3 linked regions of the Tamandua tetradactyla genome follow. The protein of the gene in region 3 interacts with the protein of the main gene of each other region in a pairwise test. Links are inferred from orthologs where the notes say so. Each region holds a gene or a part of one and is shown on either strand. Other genes may lie near its edges.

Region 1 (10,240 bases), on a different chromosome or scaffold from region 3:
GCTGCTGGGGTGCATGGATAAGCCCATTTCTACCCCAGGACCTTTGCTCAGGCTGTCCTTGCTTGAATGCTCTGCTTTCCTCTTCATAGGACTCAGGCAGCACATAACCTCCTCAGAGAGCCCTACCCTGACCACCCTGTCTAAAGTGTCCCTCCCCACCCTATCACTTTACCATTTTCTTTTTTAATATTTTTATTGTATACAACAAACAAACATACAAACTTTTTTGACATACAAACATTCTATACATGGTGTACAATCAATGGCTCACAATATCATGACATGGTTGTGTATTCATCACCATGATCATTTTTTTGATCATTTGTATCTCTCCAGCAAAAGAAATAAAAAAGAAAAAACTCATACATGCCTACCCCTTACTCTTCCCTCTCCGTGACCACTAGTATTCCAATCTACTCCATTTATTTTAACCTTTGTTCCCCCATCATTTGTTTAATTTTTACCCATATTTTTTCCTCATCTGTCCATACCGTAGATAAAAGGAGCATCAGACACAAGGTTTTCACAACCACACAGTCACATTGCAAAAGCTATATCATTATACAATCATCTTGAAGAAACAGGGCTACTGGAACACAGCTCTACAGTTTCAGGTACTTCCCTCTAGCTTCTCTAACACACATAAACTAAAAAGGGATATCCATATAATGCGCAAGAATAACCTGCAGGATAATCTCTCAACTCTGAAATCTCTCAGTCACTGACACTTTATTTTGTCTCAATTCTCTCTTCCCCCCTTTTGGTCTAGAAGGTTTTTTAATCCCTTGATGCTGAGTCCCAGCTTATCCCAAGATTCCTATTCCACATTGCCAGGGAGGTTTATACCCCTGGGAGTCATGTCCCATTTAGAGGGGGACGGCAGTCAGTTCGCTTGCTGTGTCGGCTTAGAGAGAGAGAGAGAGGCCACATCTGAGCAACAAAAGAGGGTCTCTGGGGGTGACTCTTAGGCATAATTTTAAGTAGGCTTAGCCTGTCCTTTGCAGGGATAAGTTTCATTAGGGCAAACCTCAAGATCAAGAGCTCGTCCTTTTGATTTAGTTGTTCCCCCTGCTTAGGAGAATATAAGGAATTCTCCAAATAGGGAAGTTCAGTTTTTCCCCCTTTCTCCCCATTCCCCCAAGGGGACTTTGCAAATACTTTTTATTCACTGTTCAAATCACTCGGATTTATTGGGGCATCACACTAACCTGGAAAAACTAAGAAAATGTCATGCCCTATTCAAGGTTCCATATACTTATGGTGTTCGATTAAACTGACCATACAAGTTAAATTAAGAAATGCACTAGTCAAGATATAAATTTTGCACCAAATAAACTTTTCTACCTTTAGTCTCACATAGAAGTTGAAGTTTTAAAATATGAATGACCATCTATTTTCAGCACTCTGCAATGCTGACATTCCTTTGTGCTTCCTCATACAAAGACATTTTTCACTTTGTACATTTAGTCACTATCATTGTACACTCTAGGCATTCCTAGATTATACCATCTCTGTCTTTATCGTCTATCCTTCCTTCTGGTTTCACATGTACTCCCAAACCCTTCTCCCTCTGTACTATTTTGTTTCTTAAGGGCATTATCTGACACGTGGGTTCACTTTTTTCCTTGCATATGCCTGTCTTCCTCTACTAGAGCATTAGTTCCATGAGGACAAGGACTTGTCTGCCTGTCACAGCTGGATCCCTAGTGTGTGGCACACAGTAATGCTCCAAAAATGTATACCGAGTGGCTGGTTGAGCAAACGGTGGATCTGGTCTCGGACACCAGCCAGCCGCCTCCACCTCTCTATCCATTCCAATTCCAGAGATCTTCCAAGTCAGCTATTTCTTACTTATCAGTCCTCGGTTATGGTTACCCCCATATTCAGAATAAAACCCAAACTCCACGATGTGGCATGTGAAGCCTGCACAGCACACTCTGACCCTCACTTACTTTTCTAGACTCATCCCCTCTCCCTCCCCAAGCTCCTGTATCCACACAGGCTGCCTGTCTTTCCCAGAATACCCATTCTTGACCATATTTCCAGGCCTCTAAGCACACTGTCTTACCTGGAGTACACTCTGCCCAATTGCAAACTCCTAAACATACTAACATATTTTAATACCCAACTGAGAAAAAGACCTCCTCTTGGAGCGTCCCCCTCCCTCCCAGAGTCCACCAGCTTCCTGCAGGGAGGAGATCCCTTAGACCAAAAGCAGTGGCTCAGGGATCACTTGTGTCCACCTCCGGTTTGAACACCAGGGAATGAGCTCCTAAAGTAGGTGGGGACATTGTCTATCCCCTTACTGCCCAGCATGGGGCCTGGGGCCTGGCCAGGGTGCCTATAGGGGCTTGTTTAGCAACTGAAAGAACAAAGCCCTTTGCTTTTATTGTTTATGTCTGACTAACTCATTCATTTAACAAAGGTTAATGGCACTCCAAGCACGAAACTCTTCAGAGTCTGTAGGGCCCGTAGCCACAGGCAGCCCCAGGCCTGGCTCTCACCCCCTTCCCCCCTGCCCCCAAGGGGCTTCTACCTAAGATCCTTCCTCAAGTTCAGCCAAGTGACTTTCAAGTGGGAAAGGGAAGAAGATACTGTATTTTTCAAGGATCTGTTAAACTTTTCTGCCTACCACACATGCACTCAAACAATGTGAAAAACCACCACACAGCTTAGCATACAGTAGATGCTCAATAAGTAGGGCAGGAGCAGAAAAGGACAGACCCTGCCCAACATCTGCCTCAGGCTATTTCTAGGCTGACATCCTATTTAGTGGGTTAACCCCTTTATCCATTTCCCCATCCCACAAGCCTCCACTGATGGGACAAGGGTCCGATTAAGAGTTCAATGCTCCGTGCATTTGACCCCATCTGTCCTCTAACTTCCTGGCTCCTAAGTCCTGGGCAGATGGGGGAGTGGAGTCAGTGACATCACTGTGCAGCACGAAGGGCAGAAGGGAGTCCCAGCCCTACCACCCCTGCCATGCCCTCAGCAACCCAGGTGCTGATGAGAGGATATGCCAGTCTCCAGCCCCAGGCCACCTCCTGCCACTCCCTGATGGGGAAGCAAAAACACCTAGGCCCCTTCCAGAAGCAGCAAAACCACATAAACCCTTGGGCCCCAGGTAGAAGCAGGAAGCTGGAGCCTCCAGATGCCTAGGGGCCCGCAGCCACACCACAGCAGCTTGTCCCTGCAACCCCAGCTCAGGTGACCCAGCAGCCCACAGCACACCCAGAACGTGCCAGGCCATGACCGAGCTTTGACCTGTACCCATTCCAGCAGCATCCCACAGGGCTGACCCATTTCCCAGCCCACGCAGGGGTGGGGAGAAGGCTGACCCATCATCACCTGTGCAAACTCATTTCCAGGCTTCTGTTATGACAGTAGAAGCTGCAGCTAAATACCTGGGGCTAAGCACTTCCCTCCATCCACTGCAGCACTGGGGAAGGGGTGGCAGCGAGACATGAGCCTGGGGCTGCTGGGATAACCCCAAGCCAGGCATTACCCTTACATTCCTGGGTCAGCATCACATCCAATCCCCTGCAGAAAGCCTGACCCCCACGGCAACTGGCAAAGTGGGCTTATGTAACACAAAGAGCACTGGACTGGGAGTTCAGAGGTATGGGTTCAAGGTTCAGGTCTACCAACATCAGTACCAGCCCTTTCCCCATATGGTTCTGGGTTTTCCCCTTTGCCCAAGCCTGGGGCTCTTTCTACTCAGCGCCGACTCAGATCAGGGGTTCCTTTAGTCTTTGCTTCACCTAGAGCCCTAATTTATGCACCGCACAACTTGAGGCAGCCTCTCCACGTGGATTCTAACTGACAGACTCTCTGTTGCCGCTGTAGGGACACAGCCAATATCCAGCAGCCCACGGAACAGGCCACCCCTAGATCCACCCTGGGGGGTGCGGGGCTGGGGCCTGGTGGCTAAGCCCACGGGTGGGGGCTGTCGTGGGCCGCCGGCCGGGGGCTGCTTAACGAAGAGGGGTCGACCCTTCGCCTTGGAGCGTCCCTGTCCCCGCTTCCAGTCTTGTCGGGGACACCCAGGGTGGACGCGCTGGGAGCGGGGAGATCCGGCTGGATCCCCTTCACGGGGCGCCCACGGGGAACAGCGGGGCGCGTCCCGGGCCCTGCAGGGCCTTCCGAGGAAGGACGGGGCCCCCAGCACCTCCTGGGCTCGGCACTCCCGCCGCGGGTCAGAGCGCGGAGGGGACGGAGCTGGGGACCAAACCTGGCCCCCGGGAGTGCACTTGCGCCCGGGCGGCAACCCCGCCCACCGCGCCCACTCCCCTTTCCCGCTCCCCCAAGACCACTAACCATAGTGACCGGAGCCGCTGGGCCAGGTCTACCCCCAGCGAGTAGCGATCCCGTGCGGGAGGGCGCCGCGGGAGGAACCGGCCCGCTTCGCCGTTGGGTCGGGCGGCGGGGGCCTCGAGGGCGTGGGGGTGTGCAGAGAAGACACCCGACCGCTCCGCAAACCAGAGGCGAGACTTCCACTGTGTCCCAGCAAGACACACGCCCCGCGATTGACGTCTGAAGCGGGCAATCAGAAGCCGGGATACATGACGTCACAGAAAGTGGGTGGGACTTCACGTCTCTTCAGCCTATGTTTTAGGGCTCATTTGACAGGGCACCACCCTATTTTAAAGACACAAAAAGCTTTTAGCTAGCAAAGTTAACCCAATCCAGAAAGACTGGTCCTTCTTCGTAGCTCAAGGGCCTTTGAAAAAAACTGTAAATTGAGGTCTTCTGAGAGATTAGCTCGCCCTCATTAATTCATAAATAAGGCCACTTAAGTATAGCTGGCTCAAGATCAGAGGTATTTAAGGACCACAAGTCCAATAACATTAAGTTAACCTCTTGCCCCTGTGCAGCTTCCAAATAATATTTCCCCCCTCCCAACTCATGATTCAGCAGGTTGCCTGACACCCAATTAATGTTTGTTGAATGAATGAATTTCCAGGATGATTGGGTGGGTGGCTCTGGAATTACATGTATGTATCCAAGGCCCAGACAGTGAAACAGGTCTGGGTGACTCACCCCGCGTACAAGCTCATTATTACAGAGTAGCAAACATAGGAATATTTGTCATCCAAAGATTCATTCATCAGCCCCTGAGCCCTGGAGGGGCTGCTTTAGGTGGGGGAGGGAGGATTTATGGGGAAGGGGATGCTGATGCATTTCCGCACCCATTGTAAGTATTAATACTTCCACCTATTAATTTTATTGAGTAATTCCCTTCCTATCCCACCCCACACACACACTCTTCTACCACCTCCCACCTCCCAACCACCACCACTGCCCAGGTGCCAGGCTAAGCTCCTGGACAGATGAGACATCTGTGCCTTCCAAGTGGTCATCATTTACTGGGGGATAGGAGCTGGGAATTGCTGGAGACTCAGGAAGCAATAACGATCGCAGCCTACTTTTATTGAGCACCTACAATGTATCAGGCGCTGCCCTAAGCCCTCAACATCTATTATCTTACTTTATTCTCACGACTAGTTCATGGGGCTTTGCCCTGTTATTAGTACTACTAACCCTATTTTACAGATGAGGAAATCAAGGCATAGAATGATGAATCCCACAGCACAAAGTGGGATTCGATCCCAGGTAGTATGACTCCAGAGCTGCTCTTGAATCCCGTTGGCAGATTTTGGAGAGTTTCTGCTTTTTGTTTCTATAGCCAAGGAAGCTGAGAGGTGACAGGACTAGCACAGTGACTGGGCTGGGCTGGATACTGGGACTTCTGACTCCTCGGATAGTGCTCATTCCAGGACGTGTTAAGCTTTACCTGTGCAGGAATGACTGAGCGAGATGTGGTCTCACAGGGTGTGGGTGTGGGGTGGGGGCAAGGAGCCTTTGCTTGGTCACCCCCTTCCAATCTCTCCTACCCCCTCTATAGACCGAGCTGCCTTGGTGCATGAAAGGAGCACTGGACTGCAGTGAGCAAGGAGCTTTGGACCCCAGGTTGACTCGAGTCTCTGCCACTCACTGCTGTGCATCCCTAAGCAACTTCTAGGCTCTCGATGGGTTTGAATCCTCACTCAATGAACGGGTTGGATAATCTGGACAGTTTTTTAAAAAAAGTTATTTTTGTTTTTTTTTTAATATTATTGGTAGTGAAGCTTTTAAAAAGAAAAACACAATTTTACTTAGAATCTCAGTATATATGTAATGGAATCTTTGTGCAGTTGTAGTTTGAATGAGCAGGACAATTGCATCTTCTTAATTAGTCAGGAACTAATCAGGCCTCTTCCTGGGCTCTCTATGCACTGGTTAGAAGAGAAAAAATGTTTGCAAAGAGACCATTTGGGTTTATAGCCGGGTCCAGGTTGAAAGTGTGAACAATCTCTAAAGGGACTGGGGAGTTCTCCTCACAGCAGGGGAGAAACATGTTCCATCTGGAAGAAATTGTCTCTTCCTCTTCCTGCATCCCTTCTACCTGGTGTCCAGGTGCCTGGATGGGCGACATGAAGTGACTGTTCCCCTCAACTCACAACTTGGGGGAGAGTGGGGCCAGGGGTATCTTGTCCTACATTAAAGGTCCCGGGAGCCCGAGTGCTGGACACTCAGCCTTTGGGGCCTGGCTCTGCGACCCGTGCAGCTCATGCGTGGTCTGCCATTTCTCTGGCTGCTTAGACCCAGAGAGCCTCCCCAGACCGGCCCCACCTCACGCACTCTGTGTGGTTCCAGCCTGCCTTTCTAATCCTTTCTCCTTCACTTTCCTACTTCCCCAACATGTGAACTTAAGGCAATAGCTTCAAGTGTCCAGAACATTCCCCATGCTTTCCCAGCTCGAAGCCTTCGCTCACACAGTACCCTCTTCCGAGAATGGCCATCTTTCAAATTCCGGCTCCTCTGAATTCCCGTCACACATTATCTGCTCTTTTATGGTGCCCTTGCTGCTGTGATCTGGAGGGGGTGGTGTACACCCCTGGGGATGGAGATGGGGAGGGAGCCCCCAAATGAACGAGATTTAATTTTCCACTAGCCCAGGGAGGTAGCACACACCAGGAGAGTTAATGTTAGTGGAAAATGAACAAAAGCAATGTGATATTTCTTCTCTCCAGGGATTAGAGATATAACCCCCACTGGCTGCTTCCGGGCTTCTCTCAGAGCCTGGTCCAGGGCTCAAATCCTGACTTGGGCCCCCCACCCCCACCCCCTGCTGGGCTCACTGGGCTTCAGCCCAGGGTCCCACAGTGAACTTGTCTGTGCTGGCGGGACCCTCTAGTGGCCCCCGCGTGGTTGTACTTGGGTCCCCTGCCCCAGCCCTCAGTCACGGGACACACCCCAAGGGAGACTCTTGACACCCACTGCTTCCCAAAGGACAGAATGGCATCTTTCTTCCTGTCACTCCAGGTCTCCCTCTGGTGTGTGTTTCTTGGGAAGACCTCCCAGGAGAAGTTTTTTTGTTTTTTTAAAAAATTTATTTATTAATTTAAAAAAATTTGCCAACAAACGAACAAAAACCTTAACATATGATTATTTCCTTCTACATATATAATCAGTAATTCACGATATCATCACCTAGTTGCATATTCATCATTTCTTAGAACATTTGCATCAATTCAGAAAAAGAAATAAAAAGACAACAGAAACAAAAATAAAACGAAAAAAAAATTATACATACCATACCCCTTACCCCTCGCTTTCATTGATCACTAGCTTATCAAACTAAATTTATTTTAACATGTGTTCCCCCTATTATTTATTTTTATTCCATATGTCCTACTTGTCTGTTGACAAGGTCGATAAAAGGAGCATCAGACACAAGGTTTTCGCAATCACACAGTCACGTTGTGAAAGCTATATCATTATACAATCATCATCAAGAAACATGGCTACTGGAACACAGCTCTACATTTTCAGGCAGTTCCCAGGAGAAGTTTTGCTTCCCCTGAAACCCTAGCATGTTTGATCTTGGACAAGTATCTTACACCGGACACAGTTCCCTTTTAGGTTTGTATCTTGGAGATTCAGACTAATCGCTGCTTCCCGATATTGGGTCAAATAATTGGGTTAAAAGATCTGCTCACTCATCAGCACTTTTTGAACATTTACAAAGTGCCAGGCACAGCTCAAAGAGAAAGAAAGGGGGAATAAGGAAAGTGGCGCTGTTCTCTGGGAGCTCGTGTGGGAGGAGGAGGTGCTCCAGCCTTACCTGCGGTCTTACTTCTCCTTGCCTTGAATTTCTGGTCTGGTTTACGTGATCTGTCCTGAATTTTTGTTGTTATTTATCTTTTCATTTGAGGTGTGAGCTATGGTGGGCCACCTTGAATCTGTGATGAAACAGAGGTGGTATAAACGAACCAATCAGTAAATGACACACTTGTCCCTATGTTCTCTCATGGGAAGCGGGTGTCCCTGCCCCCACTGTCCAGACAACAGAATGGAGGTTTGGAGAATGAAGGGTTGTGCCCAAGGCCACCTGGCCAGGCAGCAGGAAGGCAGGTTCTCCCAAGATCCACCAGGCCCCAAGCCCGGGGCTATTGACACAACTATCCAGGGCTTCCCTGCTCCTTGGCCAGTCCTGCCCAGGGACGGCCAGGAGATGGCGATGGAGCGCCGGCCCCATGGGAGGCTGCTCTGGCTTTTCAAATGCCAGAGAGAATCTGAAGAACAACCATTTTACAAAGCTTGGTAAGCATCATATTGCAATTTACTTTCCAGATTTACCCCGGCCACAGCCCTGGCTGGGGTAATACATGCCCCTATTTCCAAGCCAGCTGCCAATTTGTGGGCTCCCGAGGGCCTAGGAAATTGATGTTCCTACAGTTCAGAACCCATACAGCCCCCTAGACTGGGCAGAAAATCATTGCTGGCTTTTATGAGAAAGCATTGGGTGTTGTTTCCAGGAAATTGAGGCCAGTGGGGTATCCCCAGGTTGGAGAGAGCTGCCTGTCCCAACTCTGGTCCTCACTTATTGGAATGGACAGGGTACCTGGCTCCCGCTACAAGACCTTGGGTGCCTCCATGACAGGGCCTCAAAATGGCCCCAATGCCCCCACCTCCTTGCGCGATCCCCTCCCTTATGTGTGGGCGGGAACTTGGACTGGCTTCTAATTAATAAAGTACAACAAAAGCGATGGACTGTCACTTCTGAGTTACCAAAAGACTGTGGCTTCTGCCTTGCTTGCTCTCTCTTGAACCCTCGTTTGCTCTGAAGGAAGCTGGCTGCTGTGTGGTGAGCTACTCTGGAGAGGTCCCTGAACAAGGAGCTGAGAGACACCCTCAGCCAAAAGCCAGCAAGGAACTGAGGTTGTCAAACAGTCTATGCACTTCCTCTGCCAACAGCCACATGAGCCAGCTGGGAGCTGATGCTTCCTCAGTTGAGCTTTCAGATGAGACAATGTCTCTGGCAGACCCTTGTTTTAAGTCTCATAGCTTGCTTGCCTTTAAGATAGAAAGCTCCAAGAGGACAATACACTGTCCTACAAACCTAGTGCAATGCCTGGGAGATAGTAGGTGCGTGTGTGTGCGTGGTGGGGGGAAACATGAGAGCCACCTGAGCCCCATTGGCCAGTTTAGTAGATATCATGAGGTCTCTCTCTTTTTTTTTTAATCGATAAAACATCATACATACACAAACATTTTTAACATGTAAACATTCCATACATGGTATGGCTCACAATATCATCACATAGTTGTGTATTCATCACTGTGATCATTTTTAGAACATTTACATCACTCCAGAAAAAGAAATAAAAGGAAAAACATCATACATCCCATACCCCTTAGCCCTCCCTGTCAATGGGAGGTCTCATTTTTAATCAGATTTTCCCAAACCCATCTTCCATATTTGGTAACAATCTATCTAACTGTTTGGGAATAATCTAGTAACAAAAACTTGATTATATGTGTATATATATGGAGAAAGAGAGATGGAAACCTTCCTGTTTTCTATTTTGTTTCCATCCCACCTGTCCTAACATGCTGAAGGCCAGTGGGGCCAGGAGGCCTGCAGGGCTCAAAAGGGCCCACAGGAAGGCCCTGCTGGCTCCCAGGAGATGGGCACCATCCCTGCTTTGGGTGGGGGCTTGGCTGTCCCAAGGCCTCTTCCTTCCATATTCTTTGGCAGTAGCCCAGGATGACTGGAGGGCTGGTGCCTGGACTTCTGTGACTTATGACACTATGGAGAGGAGCAGAAAGGGAGCTCTTCCCCAAATAATCCCCCTAGGAAACTCACCCTATGTGACTGTTGGGGAGGCAACTTGCCCTGGGAGGGGACGTGACC
Region 2 (10,662 bases), on a different chromosome or scaffold from region 3:
ATTCTGAATCTAAAAAATCTCTATTTCCCAGAAAGTGTTATCAAAATGCACTTGCTTCTGTAGTTTTATTTGTAGCATGAATCCCGGTTGATTTAAACAATATAGCTGCAAAATAAGGGTTTTGCTATTTAGAGTCCATTGTTTTTCTTAAGGAAAGAGCAGGTCCCATCTAAAAATGCCAGTTAGAACTTTTAATGATGATGATAAGGGGACCCCTTTCTTCTGTCATATTTCTAATTCTCCAGAGTTCCTTTCTTTCCAACTCTACCCAAGTTGAATCCATCTCTTTTTGTGACAAAATGGGAGAGAGTTAAATCACAAACTGGCAACCTATGAGCCCCTTTGATGATAATTCCACGTCATCACCTGTTTCTGTGCCTCTTGATTTCAGCCAGGGCCAGGCAGACTCCAGGTGCCCAGTTCTCTCTACCTGTGCCTCTAAAACTCTATCTATGCTTCGCCAATAGAAGCAAGAGGTTGAGTGAATGCCCAAGACACCCAGGACCAAAGCAAGAGAACCACGTCCACCAATCACTCCAAATCACCCAAATCAAGAAAGACCAAAGTGAAGGTACCAATTAAGTTAATTAACTTAATGTTCTTATCATAATCATGGTCAACAAAGAGTATCTGCTCCTTGGTTGGGATGGTTTGGGATATCACTGATGTAAGAACACTTGCAACAAATATCAACATCCACAAAGTAGAATTTTGTGTCTGCATAAAGCACAATGCTTGGATGTTTCTTCAACCAGTACATGCTCTGGTTCAATGGAAATAATTAAAAAGCAAAACGGTGAGGCTTAAAGCCGCAAACAGCTGCTAGTGGTAAAGGACCACTAGGCAGTAGGAATGGACGGGAAGAAAAGCAGTGACTAGGAATTGCCAAAAACAGTGGCGGAGAGATCTAAAATCTGGGCTACAAATCTCCAGTATTTTCCTATTTCAGTTTCTGGGACCACAGGCAATAGAACTGAGGTTAGAGGGAGGGGCCAAAAGAAGCCCTGCTGTCCACAACAGCTATTCACTGGTTAAAATGCTTTGCATGCCATCAATTCTAGAAGTTAGGGCCAGCACAGGCATATTCTAATTATAATGGGGAAAAGTGGTAACAGCCAATTTTCACACCATGCTTTTCGTTTGAACTGAAAACCTTTTAATATTTCCATTACTGGGCAGAGAAGGGTATTTTACAGATGATTAAAGAGTCACAAGAATGAGACACACGTCAACTGCTTTACTGTGTATCTAAAGGTTTAGAAATGCATCCTTCAGTCCCCAGGCTCTCTGCTCTCTACTACACACAATTAGAGAAGATCCCCAGGAAAAGTATTCCCAGGAAATTTACCACGAGTCCCTCGCAGAGTTGCCTTGCTATAGCCTCAGCAGATGGGAGTCTTGCGTTAATGCTAGTGAAATTTAATTAATGGAGACCCTCTCCCAGACAGAAGAAGTGACAGCACATCTTACCGTTCGTTTTCAGCGCCACCAGCTTCCTGACTTCTCGACACCAGTTGAGCTTCCTCTGGCTTTCCAGGGCACCTTGGAAGTTTCTGTCGATGAGAGCTTTGTGGATCATCTCTCGAAACTGGGGACAAAACTGGCCCATCCTGAACATTTCCAGGGTGTATCGGTGCATGGACTTAAAATGGTGAATTATCCCATTGGTAGGTTTTAAAATATCCTCTGGAGTCCTCTCTCTTATCTTCACAGCTTTCCGCATATTGCTCAAATACAAAGCCTGAGGAAGAACTGGTTCAGCCATCGTGCCCCAGCACACCTGAAGAGAAGGGGGGAAAAACCACCCCGTTAGCCCAGCTTTGCCATCACTCCTACATATCTGCCTGCAGGACACCCCAGGGTTTGAGCCTGCCATTACCCTAACCGGTGGGCAAAAGATCTGTCACCTCTATTTCCAGGACACTCGCCAGCCCTAAAGATGAACTCACACTAGACTGTTTTAAAGATTAGTCTAAACAAGAGCAGGGAGGTGGGGAGTGGGCACCGAGGAGGAGGAGGAAGAGAAGGAGGAGGAGGAGGGGAATAACCCGGGTTTTCAGTCATGTCTCTCAGGTACTGGGCCGCCTCCTCCATCTCAGCTCCCATTTCATTCTGACGCCCTCCTGGACTGCCCCTGGGTGACAGGTGACAGGCATGGTGTGGCCAGCAAGCCTGGAGGCCCTCCCCCCACCCACCCTCCCAGCCTACCCTGCAATCCTTGTTCTGACACAGAGTCTTCGTTTCTTTCTTTTAAGCACTCTCTTCCTGTCCTAGGACACTAAACATTTGGGGGAAAAGCCTACGGTTTTTCTGCTGTCACCTTGGCTGCTGATCCACGTTTTCTCCTTGCACCAAAGACTGACAGAATTAAAACAGGCTGTTTTATAATCAACCAAGAAGCCTATTTCCAGCAAGCTGCCTTGCAATTAGTCAGCACCAGCAGTCGGCTGTCCTTCAGAACCTCTCCGCCGAGCCCCACAACGTCAGAATAATACGTAGGACAGAAAATAACAGAATAATGAGCTATGCGCTTCTGAGAGCAGGCACTGGAGTGCAGTGATTTCAACTCGACTGCCAAGCAAATGTCATCATCGTTCTCCAGGTGACCACACGGATGCATTTCCCACCTGGCCTTTCACCCCCAAATCTACAAACATCACCAACCGGTGGGAAGAAATGAAGGGTGGGAAGCAGGAAGAAAGGTCCAGCCAGGACTTATGAAAGACAGCCCACGCCAGCCGAGTGGGATGATGTGAAGCAGCGGGACGTGGGAGCTTTCCAGCCTGTAGCTGAGGAGACCCAGCTCCTCCTCACCGGCCCTTCTAGGCTGCCTCGTCACATATCCTAATTTCAGGAAGAAGACGTAGGTGATTTCAGGGCACAGGATGTTGCATATCCCATCCCTGTATGGCACTCTTTGTGCAGGCAAGTCAAGCTTCCATTGAGGAGGACACTGACCCCACAAAGCATGGAAGAGAAGCAGCCCAGGTTTTAGGGAGGCCACTCTGGGGTGGGTTCAGGATCTCTTCAAGTCATTGAAAAAGTGTTTTAACCTCTCATGGCCCACTCAAAGGAGAGAGTTTGCTTCTGAAGAGCAGGGAATAATTTTGGATTGAGATTCTTAATCTGATGGCCGAGTGGGACCTGGGACAAGTCATTCTCTTGGGAAGATGGTGACTGTCCTTTGAGGTTAGTCATTTGCTGCAGATGAAAGTGGGCAAAATAATAACAAAGGGACAAACACTGACGGGACAAAATACCATGCACACTTCTCCCAGTGGCAGAGCTAAAGTCCCTTTCACGATGTCATTCATTCATTCATCTGTCCATCCATCCCTCTAATGAGCACCATCTGTAGAAGTCAGGTGCATACTTGATGCTGACCTTACACCCCCTCCATGAAACCTCACAGCCCTTCAAGCCTGTACTTAAGGCAATGGAGGCCCAGAAGCAGGGGACCTGCTCAGGCCACTCGGCCATCCCTGGGGGGACAGCTTTGTCTAGAAGCCAGGTCTTCCTATGCCTGCCTGGAGCACCACACCTGAGGCCTCTCAGACAGACAGGCAGCCAAATGCTTTTAGACAAGCTAAGAATAGCCTCTTGTTTCTCTGTCTCTCTTCTCCTCAGAACCTAAAGATCTTTCTGCAAATATCTAAAACAGTGAGAGCCTCAGACCATAGGCAGGACATGCAAATGTTGGTATCACTGGCCAGAGTCATCTCACTCATAGATTAAACTCTCATAACAAACAATATTGCCTCCTTCAAAGGAATGCAATATGACTGGTAACTTTTTTTTTTAAACAGTTGTTGCCTCACTTTGACGTCAAGATAAATTCCCAATTTTTGTCACTAGGACCAAGGAGATGCTATAGAACTTATCACTCAAAGTCTCTGTCCCCCTGTTTTATTTTTCTACTTTGGGCACATATTCTTGTCCACAATGGGGATACTTATGAATTATTTATCAACAAATTCCTCACTAGATCCCCAAATTCAAAACTTGTGCAAAGAATCGCAAAAAAATCAAAGAAGCAATTCAGCCAATGAGATTGGGGCATGAGCCAGGCTGCTCTGTAATCTGGGACATCAGGGTCTCCAGCAAAACGCCGCCCAGTGCCGCTGGACGGCAGGCTTTCCAAGGACACATCAGTGGCAGGGAGAACTGAAAACCCAGCGGTCTGGGAGAGTGGTGCGCCTTCCTTTCCTAACACCGCGACTTTCCTGAGCGACCAGGTGGCAGGATGTGGGACGTCCCGGGCTGACAAAGACCGACTGCACAGCTTTCCTCGGCTGGATCCCCCAAAGGCAGGCCACGACCCACTTCTGCATGCAAACTTGCCTGACCCCACTGCAACCACAGAGCGTGAACACGCCCTCCCGCCCCCTGCACAGGGCACTGAGCGTCTGACCGCGGTCCCAGGACAGGTGAATGAACCGGAGCCCCCACACCCTGTGCCTGGCTGGGTGAGGACCTAAGCCCCCTCCCCGTCGAGGTCGCCGCCCTGAACGGGCCGGCGCCGCAAGGTCTGCGCAGAGGCCCGGGCTGTCGTGCAAGGCTACGTGGCGGCGGGCATGCAGCGCCCTAGTTCCCAAACAGACGCCTCCTGGAGCTCGGCGCCCGCGGCCCGCCGACCAGCCGGACGCTCCCCCCGCCAGCGGCGGCTCAGGTTCTCGGCGGTATGTGCAAGGAACAGACCGCCGGGGGGCGCCCAGGGCTGTCACCCCAACATCTGGCGCGGCATCTCTCAACCCGGACGGGCCCCTCCCGAGAGTCCCGCCAAGTACGCACCGGCAGCGCGTGGCCACGGCGCGGGGTCCCTTGTCGCGGCCCCCTGTCGCGATCCGAGGTCCTGGTCAGCGTGCTGGCCGGCTCGGGAGCCCCATGGACGCAGGGCCGGGTGCGCTCGCCGCTGGGCTCGCCGGGGAGGGTCGTGCCGCCGCCGCTGGTCTCCCGGCGCCCTCTGTCGCCGCTCCGCCCCCGCGGGCTCGCTGCGGGGCTGGCGCTCGGCGGGCCGCGAAGGCTGCAGACTGGGCAGTTCTCTATTCTCGCCTTTCTGTTTTAGGGCCCGCCGCCCGCCGGGGCTTTCCACTCGGGACTTTCCAGTCACGTGACGCCGCGGGGCCCGCGCTGCCCTCGCCGGCCACCAGGGGGCGCGGGGGGCCGCCCCGCCCCGCCCCGCCGAGAAAGCCCGCGGCCCGCCCGGGGGTCCCCGGTGAGTCACCTGGGCATTTCGGAAGCGGGCCCCACGTCACATCCATGTGGAAATCGCGGTGATGGGAACGGGAAACGAAATCGGGTCTTTTTCTCCGTTGCTTTTCTGCAGAAAATCAGCGGCTGTGGAGAAAAAGAAGGGAAATAAAAGAGAGAAACCCGAAAAACCACCCTGGTGTCCGGGAGCCGGGACGGCTTGCAGAACTCGGGGCTGAGCACGGGATGGGCTAGCCGGGGCCGGGCTGGCGGGGTGACCACCTAGTGACACCCCCGAGGCCAGGCTTCCTCCGAGGCCAGGCCGGGCTGAGCTGCAGTGAGCACCGGAGCAGCCCCCAGCCCTAGCCGGCTCCGGTGCCCCTCTCCATTTCTGCGGCCAGGTCCATTATCGTCCTTGCCTGTCCCCAAGGCCTCATGGGGTGTCCTTTTAGATGTTCTCACAACCAGCTCACCCCCAAGTACCTGTGACTGGTAACACCGTGCTAGCCCCCTCCCCAGGTGCTGCTTGCTGGCTAATCTTCCCCTGGGGGCTGAAGCAGTAGGGAAACCAGCGCACCTGGCCCTGAGGGCTGTGGGTTGGGGGCAGGGCACCAGGGCTCCTTTAACTGCCTCCGTGCCTTCTATGCCCAGGTGGCCCAGGCACCTGTTCCCCAGGTTGGGTGATCTAGAGCAGATGGAAACCTCTGGACCACTGCGCCCTTAAGTGCACTCGGGGTACTTGAAGATGCCCCCTCACCCCCCCCCCAACTGCTGGCATCTCTCCCCTTCCCTTTCACAAATGCTTTCTGCTGTCCACACTCAAGCATTGGCACCTCAGGCTGGTAGTATTACAATGGCGACATTTATCCAGAACTTACCAAATGCCAGACTCTTGACTAAATGTTTGCAATGTGGCCTGCCCTTTAAACTCCGCAACAACTCCACTTTGCAGCTGAAGCTATGGAAGCTGAAGAAGCCTATGCAAGCTGCCTAAGTCTACACCACCAGTCAGTGGCAGAACCGCGACCAGGACAGGGTCTGTCTTACCCCGGAGCCCAAACTGGCGGGTCTTAACTTCTAGGTCACCCCCCAGCGTCCAGAAGGGCCCTGCGCAGATTTAAAGTCTCAGGGCCCCCACGGCCCCCACCGCAGGCACTGAGCCCGCAGGAATCCTGACAGGAACAGCCTCCTGGGCTTGCTGGAGGCCAGAGGAAATTGGCTATTGAGCGTCCTGCCCAGAATCCCAGCCAGTGGACCCCTCTCACCTCATGCTTCTTTGTAGACAGACGTCGCCTGCTCTCTCTCACCTCCTACTGGTTCTGCCCTGACAAGTCCCCCGGATTCCTCCAGCAGCTTCCACGGTCCCTTCTCTGCCTTGTGTCTTTTCCCCCGGTTTGATGAGCTCTAGAAAGGGGGGGCTCAGATGACAGACCAAGGCTGAGAGGCCGTTTTAGGTCTCCTACTTCTCACTGCCCCGAAGTAGCTGCTTTGCCATTGTATCCGCTAGTACATATAATAAGGTGAGAGGTCTGGAGCCCTCAGCTTTGTTCCCTTCCTCTGTTTCCTGTGACTCTACCACTGAGCCATGGTCCCTGTGAAGAGGTGTCCTGAGACCTGCCTGCCCTTCCCTGGCTAGTTTCTGCTGTTCTTTCCACCTCCGGGGTCAGGCTGCCTGTGGCTGTAAACTTAGCTCTCCTTTCCGAGTACTTAGCACTTGGCAAGACCAAGGGAGTATTTTCTTAGTGGTGAATCAGAAAGAATGGGTAGAAGAGGGAAGAGAGATCCCTGATGGCAGAGGGGATATAAAATTTAGGGAAATTTGTGGGAAGAAGTGAAACCAAGGAGATAGTGCCCAACAGCCTTGCAAAGGGCTTCAATTTCTGCTGTGGACCTTATCAAAGTGGACAGAGTGCTGCAAAGCGGAAGGAACGTTCTTTAACACCTGGTGGACACAGAAGGAAACCGCATCTCCCTGTTGGAGGACAGTGGCTTTGGAGCACGCCGAGGGTTGGGGAGTGTTCCTGGGAGATGTCAGTTTCTACCCGGGGCCAGCGTTCACATGGCATGAGTTGTGGCAGTGAGCATGCGTGGCCTCTGGGATGGGACAGTCTGTGGATTGTTCCTGCAGCCTGCAGCTTATGCCGCATAATTCCCAGGAGGGGCCTCCCAGGATACTGGGGAGGGGGGCGGGGAAGCAGTAGCCACCTGACTGAAGAGAGGCCAATAGGTGATAAGGGGAAGGGGACCCAAATCTGGCTCTTTTCAAGCCGCAGCTCACGAGCCTCTCTTAAGAGACAGTGACAAGGCCTTCCAGAAATTATGGGGAACCCCAGGTCTTGGGATCCGTGGTCAAACTGAAATCAAACCCATTGTGCCCCTTGTCCGCACTGCCCCTGACCCCTCCTTCCTGGGATTGTGCTTTATCAAAAGGAAGATTCACAATAAACATATTTTGGAAACAACCTTATGTAAGTATAGCACTTTAGTGATTGAGGAGGGCTTTGAATCCTGCTTCAAACCTCAGGATCTCTTGGCTGAGCTCAGAGAGGGCTGAAGTGTTAAGGTTGGCCTTTACTTAGGGCAGCTGCAAGCGCTAGTTCTGAGAACACACTAGATGCTGTGGGCCGTAAGGACAACGAGAACTGGGAAATAAGGCTGTAAATTTCATCATCACATGAATACCCAATTCTTTGGAGATCCTGCTTCTTATCGGGGAACCTCAGACCCCTGACAGGCTTTGCTGGGGTGGACGGGGAGCTAACCCAACGGGAACCAAGACCCTCCCCCGGGAGGGAAGCAGTTGGCTTCCAGCCTAGGACAGCTCCTCTTATTCCACTTTGCCTAAAACACAGTGTGCTGAAATCCAAAACTTGTCAGAAAATCCGATCCCTCTATGAATTCTGGCTTAGTTTCCTGTCAACACTTGGCTGAAACACTTGGCAAGGAATCTTGTTTTACATCATGAATATAAAGATCCAGTTTTTGGTTTCATTTCAGTTCTTGCGGTGGTGCCTACGAATGCCCAGGTATGAACCTGACAGGAAAGCCCTGAAACAGGGTTCCAGGAACAGACTGGTCAGTGCTGGCTTTGGAGGTAAGCCGGATGCTCCCCAGGGGAACGTCCGGAACAGGGCAGGCCACCGGGATCTTCCCTTTGACGTGCCCCGTTCTCTCCTTCTGTCCATCAGTCCCTTCAGTCCAGTTTGGGGTCCTGTAGTCCTGCTCTGCTTGCCACCCCCACCCTTCATCTCCATGAAAAGGGACCCTTTCGTTTTCCTTCTCCCAGTGCCCAGCTTTCTGCAACTGACTCATCTAATAAGATCAGTCATGTCCATTTGTTTCGAGCAGATTACCATGTGTTATTGCATTACGTTTCTTGGGAAAGAACTCCTTAGGCTTAATGGTGGGAATCTCAAGCACCTGAGTAGGCTGCAGAAGGCGCTACTATAAATCCAGGATTCTGAGAGTCCATGGTTGTAAGACATGCCAGGAATTTAACATCATGGCGGGTGGGGGGGGCAACTCCATTACATGAAATGTTCCCACCTCCCTTCCTTTACTCCCTGGCACGCATGGAATCCACATGATTCCACTCCTACTTCCTCTCACTGTAGCCATCCCTGTTTGGTTTTAAGGCGTCTTGGAGGTGTGTAAGTCTCTTGAGCTGATTTTGGCCTAGATCGCTGTACATTGCATTCTGTGATAGGCTATTTTCAGTAGTTGGCTCTTCTGGTCTGTTTTAGAACTTTAAGATTAACCAAAACATAGCATAACCCTTCAAGCTATTCTTGAGAGTCAGCTAGAAACTCAGAGATCATCCTTCAAGATAATGGGCTCAAGGACACATACTTGTTCTGGCTATCGAAAGGAATTTGCCATTACCTAAGCATGTCCTTTATCTCCATGGCACATTTAAGTACCTTTATCTCTACATGGGGACAAGGTCCAAAAAGGCCCTTGGTCCTTGCCTGACCAGAAACCATGGAAGAGCAGCCATCCTCCGATGATGAATACTTGCTTCCTTTAGAACATTTCCATGCACGCTTGTGCCATGATTTTCTTTTTAGCTTCAGTAGAACATCATAAAGTATCTTTTGGTAGATATTTTATTCAACAAATAGGAATCCAAATTTAAATTAAATTGAAGTTCTTTTCGAGCTGCAAATGCAAATAACTCAGCAGGGGTGAGTCTTGAGGTTCCCTCATCTTGCTGAGCTCAGGTTGGTCTGCCACAGGACCTCTGCACTTACTGTTCTCTCTGTAGGGACTGCTCTCCCATCCGCTTGGCATTCAGCTTTCTGCTCACATGTCATTAATCAGAGAAGTCTTTCCCAACACCTCCTTCCTGTTCAGTTTCATTCTCTTTGCAGCATTTATCCAATTGGAAAGTCTTTGTTTATTGGTCTGTTTTTTTTAATCTATCTTTTCCACACTAGAATGAAATGCCGTGAGAACTGGATATGTATCTGTCATCGTCCATCCCTGTATCCCTTGTGCCCAGAAGTGTGCCTGGGACATTGTAGTACTCAATAAATAAGGTCTTATGAAATGAATGCAATGATTGAGTGAATGTCCTCTTCTATGAACATTTCTAAACTCACAGAAGTACAGGCAGTGACATCACTTCACTTCCTGGTGTTTGGCAAGATTCTCCTTATGCGAATTTTCAGACTAATTCCTATGTCAGAAATTTTTTAATTTTTTAAAAGTTTGTCATAAAATTAAGGAAATCTAATATTTTGCATGTCCAAACACATCCATGCAGTTTACTGATCCTAAGAGGGGGGGTTAATCCTATGAAGTGATCTCTCTTTTTATGTAAGTTAGGGGGAAATAGAGAAGATGGGAAAGAAGAGGGGCCTCTTTTTTTTCCGATTTTGTTTTGCAGATTTTTGTGAGATATATTTGCATATCATATATTCCATCCAAAGGGTTCTCTCTCTCTCTCTCTTTTTATATATATATTTTATTGTGAGCAACAAACAAACATACAGACATTCTTGACATGGCTACAATCAGTGGCTCATGATATCATCACTTAGTTGTGTATTCATCACCATGATAATTTTTTTAAACATTTATATCTCTCTAGCAAAAGAAATAAAAGAGAAAAAAGAAAAAAACTCATACATGCCATACCCCTTACCCTTCCCTCTCATTGACCACTAGTATTTCAATCTACCCAATTTATTTTAACCTTTGTTCCCCCTATTGTTTATTTCTTAGCCACATTTTTTACTCATCTGTCCATACCCTGGATAAAAGGAGCATCAGACACAAGGTTTACACAATCACACAGTTACATTGGGAAAGCTATATCATTATACAATCATCTTCAAGAAACATGGCTACTGGGACACAGGTCTACAGTTCCAGGTACTTCCCTCTAGCCACTCTAATACACCATGAACTAAAAAGGGAATATCTATATAATGCATAAGAATAACCTCTAGGACAACCTCTCAACTCTGT
Region 3 (10,143 bases):
AGTGATACTACAGATACGTAAAAAAAAAAAAGTTATTTGGAATAGGAAGAATTCTGGAGACAATGGGTTTATCAAACTTTTAAACTTAAATTGCCTCTCCTCCTAACAGCTCTTCCCTGATAAACACTTCCTTTACCATAGCTACTTCTTTTTCTGTTCTTTTTTTTTTTTTTTTTTTTTTTGTGGTCCGGGAATCAAGCCTGGATCTCCTGCATGGAAGGCGAGCATTCTACCACTGAACCACTAATGCACCCCATAACTACTTCATAAATGTGGTAGAATTGATATTTTCCAACAATAAGAAAGATAAAAACATGAGAGCTGAGTTGAAGATGAGAGAGAAGTTTATGATAACATAAAGAATAACAGTAAGTAAAACTAAATAAAGCTAACCTTAGGTGGCAGACCCTTAAAAGATGCTTCCATTAAACAGTATTGAAAAGGCCAGGAATAATTAGTTTTCATTTTTTTAAAATCATTTATGATAATCTCCTTCATTGACAGAGAAAATATTGGTGACTGAATGGCAACATTCCCCATGTAAGATCTCAAAAATGAATATTCAGTTAGTCAAATATAATTTGATGTGAAAAACTGAGAACTGTTTCCTTTCTATTATACTCTGCCATTAAAAATCAATAAATATCTATCAAGAACATATTATTTATTATAATATGAAATTTTGTATCCTCATTACATAAAGCCATGCCCACTCAAAAGTCATAAAATAGTTGAAAAAAGTGATTTATCATTTCTGATCCTTCCTGTAGGCCAGAAACCACCAGACGAATAAACTTTCCTAACTCACCTAACTTAATATGCAATAGTGTTATAAATTCACTTAAGCGACTATCCCTTAGAGTCAATAAATCAAATCTGTTATCAAAAACACCCAAGCTTTGGAAAATACAATTCTCAATTTTGCTACTTATTCAATGTGGTAGCCAGTAAAATTCCCCAACAATAGAAAAGCTGGTAACATGAGAGCTGAGCTGATTCAAGATAGGGCTTTTGTGTATAAATATTTAAGTACTACCAATAAAATACTAGAGATAGTAAAATACTAAGTCCACCATCTCTCCCAAAGAGTAAAATTAATTCTGTCCTTGTATAATCCAGAACTTATCACTTAGTTGAGTACTGAAATAGTTTTCAAAAATCACTAATCCTCCGAGATCTAACTCAGTTTTTAAAATACTTAGTAGAATCAATATTGTCTTCTAATTTCCATTCATTTCTTTCTCTATGTCTACCAATATTACCATGGTAAGAAACTCCAAGCTTCTGTATAGAGCAGGTATGGTCATATCCTGCCCATAAGTGGAGAATCCTCATTAAATATAGTAATAGAAACAGAATACATTCTCTTTTTTAATAAATCTACTGAGGGTTATCATAATATTTTTGGTCTCTGAGCACAAAATCAGAATACAAATATTCTCAAAATATGAGAATTCTTACATTCTCAGCTATTTTATTATATTCTTTCAGCCCTTAAATAAAGTAGGATAAATTTTGAAGTATGAAAAGGGAAAAAATACCATTGATTACTGCGTTACTATGCTTTTTAGTAAATATCTCAAATTGCTTATGTAACTCATTCTCCAAAATGTCTCTATCAGTGACAGAAGAGAGAAAGACTGAGGAACAAGAGAAAAAGGAGGCATTAAATGCTTCCAGTACAATTATTTTCTCAGCAAATACCTCCAATCTTTTCACTGTAGTGTCATTGCTTTTCTTTTTTATTTAAAATGTGCACATTTGACCTAGTTCAGAAAGGGCCGGGTATAACTGGGATTGAAATACATATTAAACTAGCAATCAGATAGTCCTACTCGAGTAAGTAGTTAAATAAATTATGGTTCCTGGTACCTGCCCGTGCAAAAAATAAAATAAATAAATAAATTATGGTCATTCCACATGGAATACTATGCAGCCATTATGAATCTTGTTAAATACATAATGAAGTATGTGTGTACGTGCATAATTTTTTTCATAGATTCAAAAGCACACAATTTTTTCATTTAAACATCTATTAAATCATAATGCATTTTATAATCCATAGCACATTACAGCTGCCAGCAAGGAGGCAGTCACAACATAGTTGTAAGTACCATCAACTTGGTCATATTTAATGTCCATGATTTTGTCTTTTCGTTTGAGTTTTGTGCATTATTGTCACTGCATGTGCTGTGTTTAATCCCATTTAATATGAATTCCTAGTTGTTGTCTAAAATCTTCAGTTGATACTTCATGGCAAATTAAGAGTACAACTACATCAAAATCTGAAGACAGGGTGAAAGCAGCCTAGGACAAAATTCTGGAGACAATACCACAGTTAAGACAATACAGCTACACAAACCACTCAATGACAAAGAGGCTAACAAAAAAAATTCTATGTGATAGCAAAGCACTGGCATAGCTTAACTGGCAATATTCTTCTTTCTTAGTTGTACATCTAGATGGAAATAATCATGGGTGATTTTTCTTAAATCAAGAAATAAAAATAAAAGATTCAAAGGCACTCACATGACACGTATCACACTACGTCTTAATGAGAGAACAGAAACCAAACTTGGTACTGAATTTTATCACAAAGTATATGACACATTTACATGCCCTTTAAGTATGAAGAACTTGATTAAAATCACAAAAAAACTATTAAATATAAAAAAAATCTTATTCATTTTGCTAGTAATACAGCAAATCTTCCCTCCACTATCCACACAAAAGTCAAGTTTTTTGAATTTTGAAGATGTTAAAGAGTTTAAAAGTTGTGAAATACAGAATTAAGACTTAAAAAAACTCTCTTAATTCTACAACACTCAAGTCTGTCAGGTGCCGGTCAAAATAAAGATTAAGTATGGATTTCATATTTTTCTTTAAGAAACAAATTCTGACTATTGGTATGGTTTTTCTTACAGTTATACACAAAAGGGGCTCTTATACAAAACTTTCAATTGAGATGGCTTGCTTTCTAAAGTGCATTTAATATAATTTTACGTGAAAACTCCAAACTTTGCAGCTATTTTGACATATCTCTTCAATATTATATATCTTAAGAGTGATTATATTCATCAGTTTTTAATGGAGTTTCTGAGGTTGAGTTCAAACTTTTATACACTAAGGTGGAATAGCCATTTAATTCAAAATCCAAAAAACAAATACCATGCTAAAAGATTCCCAATTAAGGTCTGAAGAAGCTATAAAAGGGAGGGCTTAGTTATTCTGTCTAGTTAAAACTTTATTCAGTTGTGCCAACTGAATCTATTGGAGGGATTAGAAGGAAAGGAGATAACATAGTAGTGGGATGTTGTTCTGGGCACAGAAAGCAGCATGTAACTGCACATTGGCAACAGCGGGACATGCTAACAAAGGGGACAGAAGATGTACTTGACAGGAGTATAGAGAGTTAGAGGATGAGTAGGAGGAGATGACATATGAGACGTAGGCTGGTTGCAGTAGGAAAGAGTCTTGGTGGTTAGATGAATTGCTTAAATTTAATGTAAAAAAAAAAACAATAAGGGCCCCATGAAACACGCTGAGAAGACCAAGATAATGGCTACAGGACAGCATTTCAAGCTGCCTAAAGAGTAGTTAGACAGGGAGTCCTGAAAAGGGGAGGTTATGAATGTCAGAATCACAAGAAAAAGCACTCAAACTTTGGCCCAAGTTTCTTTGCTTTTTAGAGATGAAAAGATAAGGGATTTAGAGGTGTCAGAGTTTTTTGTTTCGTAAAAGCAGTCGAATTTTCTGGTCTTTTCATGGTTTTAAAAAATAGGAGGAGGAAAGCAGAATGAAGCAAGTAAACTCAAGTTTAGGTACTTAAGGTAAGTCACGTGACCGATTTTAAAGCGAAGGAAAATGATAACTAGGGTTAGTGAATGGGAGCCAAAGACAAATGATAAGGGATAAAAATTTCTTTCTTGGTAACTTTTCACTTACTAAAGGGTTTAGAAAGACACGGTAAAAAGAAAATAAAGAAAAAAGCAAAATAATAATAAAGATAATGATATATAATATCCACAAGGCTTTAAACAGAAGGAATACTGTAAAATACAGTGATAGTAGTGAATTATAATAATTTAATGTGTTAAAATAATTTTCCAAATGACAGGTAAAATTCTGAGGGTTCCTTTTGATTAACTGCAAGTCTAGGTTATTTAACAAGCTAATGCCCATTTCTTTAGACATATGCTATACTCTAATGGAGACATTTTACTAAAAACACTGAAGAATTCAGTCATTGTTCACTATCCCTTAATAATTTAAAACATAATTTTAGAAATGAAGGGCTTATTGTGTAGAGCACTTTTAAATCCATTCCTTGTTCAATGTCATTTAAATGCTTAAAAACTGACATTTTAGCAAATTCAATCAAGTTACCACTAGGTGGCGAAAAACAACAAGTAGTGTCTGTTACAGCTTGTAGAGGTCTCAAAAACTTTACCAACTTGAATTTCCACCAGGTGTCAGCCAAGAAGGAGAAAAAAAATACTATTTTCCCCCTACACAAATAAATACACAAATCCATACTTTAAAACATAACGATCTAAACTCTTTGTCAGAGATAAATGGCTTGCCCATTAACTGTCCAGATAGTTGGCATGTTTGGACTCTACAACACTGTTGAGTCCAAGATATTGAACAGCTAAAATCCAACTAAATAAAATTTAGTTTCTTCAGAAAAAGCAAAACAAGATCGATGAGTTTAGTTTATTGTGACTCATAGGCTCAACTTATACAAATACAGCGCACAAAAGAATCTAAAATATTTACAAGTGAACAGCCAAAAATCTTCTGAAGTATATTTGGCCAAATATATATATATAGTTCCAGATTCATATTTTTTCTTTCTATATTTCTCTTTTATATGCAATTCTGTTTACTGCTAATACTGCTAGATGAGTTTACCGTTGTTATGCTTAGAACCCCAGTGTGCTATTATCAATGTTGCTATTTTTTCTTAACAAATATTCACAATAAAAAGGAAGCAATGCATTTCTCTTTAAAATGTATTATGAGAATTACTGTGTTGAACAGTCCAAGACTGTCAGCCGAAAATCAAAATTAAAGCTTTACAGTATTAAGCCCCATTTAAAATATCAGGCCATGCTTTTTTTAAAGCCATCTTGTGTGCTACACCAATTTCTAACAAAGATTTTTTCCGACCCTGTTCTAAACAATATGTCAGCTACACTACCATGCCATGCTGCCTTTTATAAGGTGTTACTTTTTAAGGCCAAATTCTATTCTTACTCTTCTGGACACAGGATCAGCAATCATGTCATCTTCTGCAAATCTGGCCGTAGGTGGTGTCTTTAAAAAGGACTTTTTCTTCCTTCGAGGAAGTGGTCAAGCCTTTTTCTCCTAGTGTCATCATGGAGACAACTTGGTTGGTTTTCGTTGCTAGCTAAGGACGAGATGGAGAAGAAAGCAAGTACACTGATTAAATTCTACTTGATTTTCTTCTTGCTCCTTATAGTATTCGCTTTTAGGATCCCTTTGGCTTCGACTGAGTTCATTTCGTCCTGCCTACAAAGTACTGATATAAACAATAAACCAAGAATGTTCTTGTCTATGAACAATATTTCTTGTCTGGTTTTTATTACGTTTTCTTTTGAAATTCGTTAGATTATGCTCGGCAATCAGCCGCTTGCCCAACCGGTTTCTCCCCTTCCCCCATCTCCCTTCACACATCACTTTTTCCTCCTCCCACCCAGGCCGTGGGCAAAGCCCTGCAGCGCCGGTAACGCACGCCTCGGGCCGGTCCCTCACTCGGCAGTTTATCCTTACTTGGCTTTGCTAACAGCTCCCCACCCAGCCCTCGGCCCCTAGCGCCCACTCTACCATTATCTTTCTATTAGAGTGTGCTTGGTAAGGGGCTCCAGACGGGACGTCGAGGGTTTACGGTAGCCTGCCTACCAATAGGAGCCCACAATGAAGAGAAGTCAGGTTGAGCGCGCCGGCGGACCCAGCGTCTCCTTTCCCCGGCGCTACACCTACTGTACCCGCGAGCGAGCGAGCCAGGGAGCGAGCAGGGCCCGGGAGGGGGCGCGCAGGGAGGGCGGACAGCAGCCGCGGCGTGCGCGTGCGCACTGGGGTTGTTTTTCACAAAGCTGCTCTTAAAGTGAGCTGGCAGCCGCCAGCCGCCCGTCTTTGTACAGAGACCACTGAGAAGAGCAGGAGCGCGGAGGACCAGCCTCTCTGCTGCCCTGACTTTTTAAGAAATCTCAATGAACTATTTGTAAAGAATCGCTGATCCTGCCTGCAAGCTTTTGCACGGCAAAGACATTGATCAGTGTTAAGTAAAGATCTCATTTTATATGCGATCTTGACTTTTTTTTTTGTCTTACATTATATTTTTGTAGATTTTGTTATAAACATGGTGCTGGGAAAGGTTAAGAGTTTGACAATAAGCTTTGACTGTCTTAATGACAGTAATGTCCCTGTGTATTCTAGTGGGGATACAGTCTCAGGAAGGGTGAATTTAGAAGTTACAGGAGAAATCAGAGTAAAATCTCTTAAAATTCATGCAAGAGGGCATGCGAAAGTACGCTGGACTGAATCTAGAAACGCCGGCTCCAATACTGCCTACACACAGAATTACACTGAAGAAGTAGAATATTTCAACCATAAAGACATCTTAATTGGGCACGAAAGAGGTAAGTTTTTGTGTAATTTGAAAGTCATCAACTCCGTTTTCAATGGCAAAGTATTTTTTACGATTTTTCTGTATTAATGTAATTTATTCCTAACATAGAGCAGTTTGATAAAGGTTAGCAAAGTTGGAAGATTTGGATTCTCCTTGACATAGTGTTTTAAGCCGTAATGCATGCAAGCATCTGCAAAGTGACTGCAAACTGCACTTATTCAACTACCCCTAGTATCAGGCTCGGTCTGTGCCATACGTACTTGCAATCCATTTGCACCTTACTTATGATTTTTCCTTAAATCTAATCCAGTAATTTTACTAATATGTTTTCAAATGAATTGCTAAAAGCTGCTTTCCAGTATTAGATTTTTTCCTTTTACTTTGCAGCCTGACCTCTAAAAACTGAGTTTCTGTGGAGAAATGGAATAACATTATTAAGTGGGTAAATAGGTGTATTTCATTTTTAATATGACACGCCAAAGACCTGAAAGGAGTGATCATTGTTATTTGGTAAAGGGTTTCTCGTGGCTATTTGACATATGGTATCAACACCCCACGTGTTTTCCCCTATTCTTTGCAATTCCTTTAGAAAATTACATCAAGCATTTTTTATTTTAAAGGTCAGTATTTAACATTATGGTACAATTCAAGTCAGTTTTAGAAGCCATTTAGGGCCAGTAATTTTCTTTTCTGAACATCATGTCTAACTTTGGAACGTGCATTCAATGAAACCAGTGCCAGTCAAATGGAATTGAAAAGTATTCGGCACACTGGATTTGATTTTTGGTTAGAAAAGACAGCTAAAGGGTTACCAAAGGGAGAAGGGGTCCCGAGATCGCCAATCTATTGTTTAAATGGTTACATTGTGGAAATATAGGAGACTCTAAGCTTGTTTTTCTAAGTTTCCACCCTTTGTTAGAAGCGGTTCAATCCTGTTTCGGACCAGTTCTGGGGGGTGGTGAGGAGGGGCGCTTGTTCTGCTCTCAGCAGATTGGTTACACGCGTCAGGTGGTGGCGATGACTTAATTCCTAGCCCAAGAAGAAATAATGTTAAAACTGGTTATGTAATTTTTGTGCTTCTCTTTTTTAATGCAGTATTTAGTTCAAATACTGACGATTTTTCAGAAAGAATAGAGGCATATTTTAATTCTTTTTTTATATGCATCCCTGGGGAAACTGCTAATTGACCTAAGGCGAGTGTAAAGATGATTTGAGTTGCAGAATGAATGCACTATTTTTGAGAATATTAAGATGCAATCAATTCTTTAATAGGGTTTTTCATAACTATACATAGGTAATTTGTATCTTGAAACAATTTCTCTTTTTTTTTTTTATTTTTGCATTAACACTAGTACAATATGCAAATGCCTAATGACAGTCCTGGCATTTGTTGAAAAGCAGACACATGAGTTTGTGTAAGTATGAGTGAACCTTTCTGGAGATTGCAGCCTTTTTTAAAAATGGATGAGAAGAAACAAAGGTTTTCCTTTAAGGAGTTGGGACTTATGGTGGAGGAAAAGGAGCAAATATGAGCTGTGGGGACAAATACAATTTCATTACTTGCTCCAAAATTTTATGGTAAAAAGACTATTTACCCCGCGACCCTCGAGACCCCAAACCCGTGCAAAGCATGGACGAGCTCTTATGCTGGAATAGTTTCAATGACTTAAAACTGGGACCTCTCAAACTAGCCTGGTAGCTAAAGCCCCGCCTCGGGCGGCCCGCGATAGGCGGAGCCGGGTTTGTTAGCCTGTTGCTAAGGCGATGCCAGGCGCTGATTGGATTGGGCGCGGGCGGATGGGGAGAGAAGGTTAGTGCCGGCAGGGGCGAGGCTTGGAACCGGCGTGCGCCGGTAAAGGTGCCTCTACTGCGGTCGCCTCCGCCCTTATTTGCGCCCCTCCCGGGGCTTCTGGAGACGCCCGCGGCCCATGTCACGTCTCTTTCTGTCGCCCCTCACCCCGCCCTACTTGTGTCCACAGAAAAAAAATGAATTCAGGCTTCACCGAAAGGAGGTTGTGTTGGCCTTACAGGTCCCTGATGGCTCTGGACACAACTTTAGCTGAAAATCCTATTCGTAGGGAAACTTGCGGGAGACTAGCAGGGCCCTGCTTGCTGGGTAGAAGGTGTTTTGCTCAGCCAGTCACCAGACCGGGTACCTTGATTTGACCTGAGAGCGATAACCAAGACTGGCCAGTAGAAGTAAAAGTGATTCTGATATCGAAATCTGGGTGAAGGTTTCGGCAAGAATATTCCCTGCCCACCCCCACTGCCCCTTCCCTATTGTTTCCCGGTGCTCCCGCCCCAGTTTCCCCCGCCGCTGACTGTAAAGGTGTCAGGGTGGCCCGAGCCAGATCGAACCGGTCGCCGGCTGGGGCGTGTAAAGCGGAAGCGCTGCGGCGCCCTCGCCCCGCCCCCTCATCTAGCAGGGTAGGCTGCGCGGGCGCGAGCGCCGCGCAACGTATGCCGTATGTATAGCGCGGCGCGCGGACGGCGGCGGCGCGCAGGCGGGCCGGCTGGGATCTGCTCGCGCCGGTTTAGGCCGGTCCTCTCCTGCTCGGGTCTAGTTCTTGATTGACAGCCCGGCACTTGTTTACCACGGTGCCGCCGCCGCCGCCGCCGCTCGCCTCAATGAGACTGCTGAGCTGGCACAAAAAGGGAGCGAGAAGGGAAGAAAGGGAGAGGAAGGCAAACTTTGGGCGGCTTCGAGGGGAGATCGTTTAAATGGTCCACAACTCACCAGCCAGTTTTCGGGGCTGAAATCCTTTCAGATTTCACAGGGACTGGGAAAATAGTACTTAGATATAAGCGAATCATCATGTTTTTTTTTTTCTTAAATAAAAGTGCCGACTTGTAGGTGTTTTTTTTTCCTTTATCGTTTGCTGTGAGGGAAGCATGTTTTTATGTATATTCAATACTTAGGTGAGGAAAAGGTAAATGATAGTACCAGGCTCTTGTGGCTAATGATAGAGGTTTCTAAACCTAAATGAGACATTTATACGATTACATTTTCTAGCACAGAACGCTGAAAGAAACATTTTTTAAGATCTCGAACCCCCTTCCACGTTTAAGATATCTTTTCGTGCTACTTAAAAAATAGTACATTTGACCAAAAGAAATTGGTGTTAGAGTAAAGATTCTCTCTTTTTCCTAGCGATTGGCACAGCCTTATTTATTAGACTTGATTTTCACGGGTGTGGGACGATGCTTCCCAGAAGCAAACACCCTTTGAATCCTATCGTTTATAATTAGTAAGGTATATTTTGTATATATGCAAATTTTGGCTCTTGCTATAGGAAATAGGGGAAAACTGAGTGTTGTCATCATTTTAAGTTCGATAGGGAATTTTTATTTTTAGCTATGAAACATTAAAATCATATTCCTTCTCTCTCTCTTTTTTTTAATTTCCATGTCTATTTGACAGAAAGTTTTCTAATGGTGTTAGAATTGTAACATGTATGTTTTAGTCACATCTTTGGTGTCACTGCATC

What was found.
Region 1: the proteins of ARRDC3 (region 3) and OTUB2 interact in binary tests that used the Homo sapiens proteins (3 or more experiments, as listed by UniProt). The two-hybrid records come from large-scale screens. The link is inferred for Tamandua tetradactyla from reciprocal best matches to the Homo sapiens genes ARRDC3 and OTUB2.
Region 2: the proteins of ARRDC3 (region 3) and TNFAIP3 interact in binary tests that used the Homo sapiens proteins (3 or more experiments, as listed by UniProt). The two-hybrid records come from large-scale screens. The link is inferred for Tamandua tetradactyla from reciprocal best matches to the Homo sapiens genes ARRDC3 and TNFAIP3.

What each region holds. Positions count from the first base shown.
Region 1 is NC_135338.1:54,988,419-54,998,658, reverse strand, and holds the start of OTUB2 (ubiquitin thioesterase OTUB2), read right to left. Parts: upstream 4,531-10,240; 5' UTR 4,321-4,530; coding exon 4,318-4,320; intron 1-4,317. UniProt on the Homo sapiens protein: Hydrolase that can remove conjugated ubiquitin from proteins in vitro and may therefore play an important regulatory role at the level of protein turnover by preventing degradation.
Region 2 is NC_135351.1:38,076,318-38,086,979, reverse strand, and holds the start of TNFAIP3 (tumor necrosis factor alpha-induced protein 3), read right to left. Parts: upstream 4,778-10,662; 5' UTR 1,877-4,777; coding exon 1,471-1,876; intron 1-1,470. UniProt on the Homo sapiens protein: Ubiquitin-editing enzyme that contains both ubiquitin ligase and deubiquitinase activities.
Region 3 is NC_135347.1:39,848,546-39,858,688, forward strand, and holds the start of ARRDC3 (arrestin domain-containing protein 3), read left to right. Parts: upstream 1-6,140; 5' UTR 6,141-6,385; coding exon 6,386-6,665; intron 6,666-10,143. UniProt on the Homo sapiens protein: Adapter protein that plays a role in regulating cell-surface expression of adrenergic receptors and probably also other G protein-coupled receptors.